Bombyx mori: one gene and its partner. The main gene of each other region encodes a partner of the protein of the gene in region 2 in a complex. Links are inferred from orthologs where the notes say so. Each region holds a gene or a part of one and is shown on either strand. Other genes may lie near its edges. The genes, in order: peptidyl-prolyl cis-trans isomerase H and thioredoxin-like protein 4A.

Region 1 (3,252 bases), on a different chromosome or scaffold from region 2:
AAAAGTCTATAGTTTTGAAAGAAACACCAGGAAACCTGAAGGCGGACTTGATCATTGGCTTTCCTCCTATCAATGAAAGCTACACTTCAAATGTTACGCTAGTCAAACCACATTTGGTAAAAGCAGAGTGTTCTGATGGAAGACTCTTCCACCATATGTTGACCCTTTGGAGATTCAGTCCTGGTCTAAAAAGAGAACAGCAGTCGTGTGTTGTGGACTTCCAGATAACATTCGAATTTAGATCAGCTATACATTCACATTTATCTAATTTGTTTTTTGACCAAGTTGCTCGACAAATGGAAGGTGCTTTCATTAAAGAAGTCGGAAGGCGCAATGGGCCGGCAACAATGCAGCCTAGAAAGTTACTAATAAACAATCACACTTTGAAAACTTGACGCTTACTAATTGCAAACCAAAAAAATTAGTTCAATTCAGTGTACATAATTATTGAGTATTTATTGTGATTACTTTATGTAAAAATTTGTGAATATTATATTTTATCTATTAGTCTGTTAGAAATGTGAGGCAGAGCCATTGTGATTTAATGATAATAAAAAGATAAAATTTAAAGTGAAGTTTTATTTACATTTGTCCACATTGAGATATTGTTACTGGTATTTTAGGTTTATTATTTGGTCCTGTTGGTACATTTTCTATTTTCCTCATGACAAGTAATCCATCTATAACTCTACCAAATACTACATGCTTATTGTCTAAGAAATTACATTTTGCACATGTGATAAAGAACTGACAGCCATTCGTGTCTTTACCACTATTTGCCATGGACAATAACCCTGGAGAGTCATGTTTCAAACCAAAGTTTTCATCTGCAAAAGTGCTTCCACCATATATGCTCATAACGCCTGTACCGTCTCCCTAAAATGAATAGTAAATATTAATAAACTTCCATCATGTTCAGTTAGGCATCGTTTTATCATAAACAAAACTTAATACGTACATTTACGAAATCGCCACCCTGAATCATAAAATCTTTTATTACTCTGTGAAAAGTAGCTCCTTTGTAACCTAAGGGCACACCATCCCGCCTGTATTCACCGGTACAAAATTCTCTGAAGTTCTCACTAGTTTTTGGTACTACGTCGGCGAATAACTCGAATATCATACGACCTATTTCCTAAAATAAACATAAATATTTTATAAACATAAATTTTTGTGTGTTCTTTTAAATCTAATAAAAAACAATAAGTTCGGGGAGGTATTTACCGTTGTTCCTACAGTAATGTCGAAAAACACTACTGGATTGTTAGGATTCCTAAGTTGTGACTGTATTTGGTTCCAAGTAGGCATTTCAATGTGTTAATATTGAAATTTTTACTAAAACAACATTACATTTGTGTTAACAATTTAAAACTTCTATAAGTTTTAGTTTGTTTGATGTTTATTGTTACCCGGCTGTCAAATTTTGAGGTTATACTTTTGACATCCTTTCCTTGACATTAGGTAGCTTACAAGCCTATTTGTCCAGATCTAAAAACGGAATTTCTGGTGACTTCAAAGGACAAAACTTCACGTTTAGCGAATTTGTTACATTTTAAGATTATAGCAGTTTCTTCTATTTCGGCGAATCGTAGATAATAATAAAACTATCCTAACCGTTTAATTTCAATTATTTCTAACGCTTAGAATAACTACATAAAGTATTCGTGATCACAGACGACTATGGTATTATTCGTCAACAATTGTATATTGGGCGGGACTTTTTTTCGGGGAAGGACAAAGTCGTGTAAATTATTGTATTTCGTAAATTGTGCGTTTCTTCAGATTTGAACGCCATACCTATCTTATAAGTTTTAATGGAACCTTATTTATTATCTAACAAATACCTACGGTGATGTCTTTCTTAATTCACTTCCTTAAATTTTATCCCATGAGCAATTAATTTAATTCCATTATTCCCCTTACCTAACATACATTTAAATTTATATATATTATATTTATATTTATTTAAAGGTTACAGTTTTGTGACAAGAGTATTGAAATTTGTATGGTCTATCTCCTTTTGCCCGTCCAATGAACAAATTATAGATAATACAATAAAGAATGAATTTCAAACAATCAATCAAAGACTGGGCCAGGCCATAAATAAAATACAAAAAAATTCTAATCAAAGACTGGGAAGTGGGAACAGCAATTGAATTAAAGAGAGGTAAACTATTTTTTATAAATAAAACTCTTTTACGAGTTTTTATTAAATATGGAAAGTAATGACCTACCTATTGATTATTATCAAATACTAGATTGCGATAGAACAGCAAGCCTTGAAGAATTGAAGAAAAGTTATCAGCGACTCGCTTTGACATTACATCCCGATAAAAATAAAACTGATGATTCTGATAATAAGTTTCGCCTATTACAAAAAGCTTGGTCAGTTTTAAGAGAACCTAGCACCAGGAAACAGTATGATGCTACATTAAGTTGCCATGAAAATAGTGATCTATTGCTTTATGAAACAGTAAGACTGTCTGAAATGGTGTTTGACAGTGATGAAAATGTGTATTTATACGATTGTAGATGTGGTGGGGTGTATGTGCTTAATAAAAGTAATTTTGTGCAATCTAGTGTAATAATTGGATGTGATGAATGTTCATTTTCGATTCAAGTGAATAGATAAAAAAGTATACATATTATTGCAGTTTTATTTATTTATTGTTTTATGTTTGGCTGATATTAAGTTTTCATCGGAACGAATACTTACAAAGTGAATGCCAACAACCACCACAGTGTAACTTAAAACTTTGGGTCGGTTTCATTTCGTTTACTTTTTTATGTTAATTAATCTAGATTTCAAAAAAACTTAGTTACTTTATGTAATCATTTTAATTATGTCTGATTATGAAATATTTGAAATTTAAAGTATAAAGTTTAATTATATAAATATAGTATTATAATAAATAGAGTATAAATATTGCAAAGTTCCAAAATATACATCTATATAGTTATCAGTATAGTTTAAAATACAGACATACAATAATCTCCTTCTGATTCTAATATTTAGTCATTCATTTTTTCCAAGTCCAATTCCTAACCATTTATTATTATTATTATAATTTTCGGGCGGGGGCCGAACCTCCTACGAGGTCCCGTGCCTAGGGGGCGCACGGGGTATGTGGGACTTGACGATCTGCAAGGTGTTGGGAGCCGACCGCGGGCCCAAGGAATTTTAGGGCCCCACCCATTAAACGTCTCCCCTGCACTCTTACATCCGACGTCCGATCTCCGTCCTGGGTCAAA
Region 2 (3,940 bases):
GGGTTCGATTCCTGAACGTATCAACTGTTAGTGGGTTGATACCCGAATATAACCCGCTACAAATCATTTATTAATAAAGCTTATTAAATATAAACAATTCCTTCTATCAGTGAATGGACAACTTATATATTAATTGTAAAAGTGAATTATATAGACTTACTTAATTACCGCATCCACGTGTTCCGCAACTCCCGGATCATTCTCACTAGAATACGTAACTTCCATATTTTACTGTATTCAACTGACACAAATTTATATTTATATCCAGTAAACTCCAGTCGTGCGTCGGAGCGGACACACACACTTTTTTTTTCTACCTACGCTGAGAGCCTTGAGAGGCTATTTCAGCGTAACCCTAACTTTTGTAGTTGAGCTCGCGGGGCTCAAACCTGATGACGTTGCTAACACGAACCCTAGCAAGACCCGTGCTTCGCAGAATCTACCACCGGATCGGAAACGCGACCCACTGAGAAGATCCGGCGAGAAACTCAGTGGGCTGTGTCTGAGAGTTAATTTACTCGTCGAGCCCTTCGTCGCAAGCGACGGGTTCGACGAGAACGGTGACCGGTACTTGAAGTACCTAGAAGCACCGTTAGTGGATCGGGAGGATCCGAGATGACGTGTTTTGGGCGACGTCGACTGCTTTCCATTCTGTCCGCAGGATCGGGAATGTAGTTACCGGCGGCCACGATGAGAGGGTTCTCGTGTCGTGCCGCTTTATCGAAGTGGCGCATCGACGCCGACTGTAGATACTTACTGATGGACTCTAAGTCCAGGTCGTCATGGAGGTCGACGTTCCTGACGAACCACGGGGCTCCGACGGCTATCCTGCAAAAACGGGATTGAATAATGTGGAACGATTTTAAGTGAGTGCGGGCCGCGTGAGCGAACACTACACTTGCATAGGTCATGACGGGGCGTATGCAAATTTTGTAGAGTGTCACCTTATTTCTAAGGGACATTTTACTTCGCCTACATATCATCGGGTAGAGACGTCCTAGAATGAAGGCGGCACGGTCGCGTACCGTCTTGATGTGAGGGCGGAATGTCATCCTACTGTCGAGGGTGACGCCTAAATATTTGACCTTCGGGGCCCACGGTATGGGCTGGTCGAACATCGTGATTGGGCGAATGGCGGGGGCGGAGGTGTTGACGCGCCTAGTCGGGAGGGGGATGCTCAGCGTGGTGTTCGGAGGGCGACCCCTTTTGAAGAGCACCGCTGTGCTTTTCGTGGGGTTGATGTCGATTCTAGTGACGACTGCCGGCGCAGCGGCTGCGCAGTGTCTGCGCCAGCCGAACCTACGTCTCGGGGGGAGGTGGGAACTATTGTTGTCACCTCAGCGGTACAATCGATAAAATAACTGCTTTGAACATAAATACTTTTGTTTTAAGGTTTTTTTTATTTTCTTTTTTTATTTTGCAGACGATTTCAGTTGTAACATTACGTTACAACACCCGCACGCTAAGCGGAACCCTAAAGTGTCGAACAACGCCGTGCGACCGACGCCGCGACGCCTCGCAGGATTCGTAAAAATACGGAGGGTCGATAAAGAAAAATTGAATAACGCGCACGCGCCGCGCCGGTCGCTGCACAAAATTATTAATTTTATTTAATTTAAATCCTATAACCTATATCCTATACCTATATAATTTAATTTAAATACCTTGTTGTACCTATAAGAGTTGTAACGATAAAATATATGATTAACATTAAAGCCTCAAATAAATAAACTTCACCTCATTTCATCCATATCATTATTAACTTCATATTAAATTGATATAAATAACAGAATAATTCCATGAAAGATTACGCTGTATGGACTGATACCTCCGCCTTTCTTGTTGGAAAATGGAACTGCTACTGTCATACGTCATACTGTGGTCTGTGATTTTTTTTAAGGTATTTTATGACCTGGTAAAAGTCAGTGTTTGTAAATTTACTCATAGAATAGTCATATCTTAATACCTACATATTATTAAATAATTATAAATTTAAAGTTCTCTATTTCACAGAACATTCTTTTTGTTATGAAGTAACAAAAAAGACAACGCCTGCTCTAAACTTTTTGAACACACTTCTATAGAAAACGTGAACAGTGACGAGAAACAAAATGTGAGAATAAAATAACTTTGGAATGTCTTAGATGTGAAAGGCAAATTTCAGTGAGCAAAATAATATCAATATTTGTTCAGTGGTCCTACAACACGATTATATTTTGCTCATAGCAATAGCAATTTCCAGAAAAAAGAATACAGGAATAATCGTTTGTTTGAAATAATACGTAAAGTAGTTTATTTGCAAAATGAGTTATATGCTAGGACATCTACACAATGGTTGGCAAGTAGATCAGGCCATTCTATCAGAAGAAGACCGTGTAGTGGTGAGTTTTAACTAGATTCATAGAATGTAGAAATCTGAGATTTAGTATCTGAAGACTAAAAATAATAATTATATTCTAACCTTACATCAATAGGTATTTGTTAAAGTATATAAATGCAGTAGAAACCAAGACCTTCAACCTTCTAGTATAAAAAACAATAGATTTTGAATTAAAGGAACTAACAAAATGCTTTGAGCCAAAACAGTTAATAGTTATTTAATTAGTGGCCTAATTGTCTTGCCCTATGATTCAACTATATTAAATGTAATTAATTCTAATTTACATATCTAGGTTATAAGGTTTGGACACGACTGGGACCCAACATGTATGAAAATGGATGAAGTATTATACAGCATTGCGGAAAAAGTAAAAAATTTTGCTGTCATATATTTAGTTGACATTACAGAAGTTCCAGATTTTAATAAAATGTAAGTATACCGTAAAACTACTTGTTCTAAATTTATTTCTGAAATTAAGATTTTGATAGGTTTTCTTAAAACCTTTGTGGAATACACAAGTCCTCCTACCTCCAGTGTTTTAAGGAAATTATGTTGTATTATTAAATTTGTTGTTTTATTAATTATTAAAAAAGTATCATAAGTGAAGAAGCAAAGAACTATGAGTTTTCTAGGAATTCTTAATAAGTCTGGTTCATACAGTAAATGAATTTCATTATCTACATTGTTAATAATTTTTTTCAAATTGTTGATTTTAAGACTAGAGTAGAACAGCAGTTCTTGATCACTGGAATGTTGCAAGTCAAGTGTGTTGTGAAAATTAGAAATACGATATTTCAATTTTTATTTAAGGTGATCTGGGAAATTGCATCTCAGGGATACATGTTGGTTAAATATACAATTGTTTATTAAATATTAACCATACAACAGTATTACATATGAGTGATGTAAATACCAACAACCATCACTCCCAACTATAAATCTTTGCATTTAAGGGTGTCATGTATATATAGAGTATGTTAATACATCATTAAGTAAAAAAGGTTGAAAGTTCTAGTCTAGTAGAAAGGGTCTAGTATATAAAATGACTAAGCAAGGCCTATAATAATATTATTTAAACTTATTTCTAGGTATGAATTATACGATCCATGCACAGTGATGTTCTTCTTCCGCAACAAACACATAATGATTGACTTGGGGACTGGCAACAACAATAAAATCAACTGGCCTCTCGAAGACAAGCAGGAGATGATTGATATTATTGAAACTGTGTACAGAGGGGCAAGAAAAGGACGAGGTCTTGTTGTCTCACCGAAAGATTACTCTACCAAATACAGATATTAGTTTAATTTAAAATAATGTTCCACCTGAATGGTCTAGTAATTTGTAATCATATCTGACATCATAGTCATCATAAATTTAGTAATGTAACTTTTTTTATATAAAAATAAGAACTATACATATTACATTATAACTCATGTGTTTTTGGAATTATGCTGTTCTTCCTGATATTAAACAAAGTAAAAGTAGAATAAATGACAAGTTTTATGCTGATGTAGATCCTTTTTTTTGTGTTGCAATATCTTCATCATTGAAAAAAAA

Evidence for each region.
Region 1: thioredoxin-like protein 4A (region 2) and peptidyl-prolyl cis-trans isomerase H share a complex: the UniProt entries of both Homo sapiens proteins name them as parts of the U4/U6-U5 tri-snRNP complex. The link is inferred for Bombyx mori from reciprocal best matches to the Homo sapiens genes TXNL4A and PPIH.

Annotation. Positions count from the first base shown.
Region 1 is NC_085116.1:6,471,870-6,475,121, reverse strand, and holds peptidyl-prolyl cis-trans isomerase H, read right to left. Parts: upstream 1,649-3,252; 5' UTR 1,309-1,648; coding exon 1,225-1,308; intron 1,136-1,224; coding exon 959-1,135; intron 877-958; coding exon 583-876; 3' UTR 565-582; downstream 1-564. Other genes in the region: coenzyme Q-binding protein COQ10 homolog A, mitochondrial, read left to right, coding at 1-395. UniProt on the Homo sapiens protein: PPIase that catalyzes the cis-trans isomerization of proline imidic peptide bonds in oligopeptides and may therefore assist protein folding. Participates in pre-mRNA splicing.
Region 2 is NC_085120.1:13,294,609-13,298,548, reverse strand, and holds thioredoxin-like protein 4A, read left to right. Parts: upstream 1-1,493; 5' UTR 1,494-2,303; coding exon 2,304-2,381; intron 2,382-2,672; coding exon 2,673-2,809; intron 2,810-3,468; coding exon 3,469-3,682; 3' UTR 3,683-3,892; downstream 3,893-3,940. UniProt on the Homo sapiens protein: Plays a role in pre-mRNA splicing as component of the U5 snRNP and U4/U6-U5 tri-snRNP complexes that are involved in spliceosome assembly, and as component of the precatalytic spliceosome (spliceosome B complex).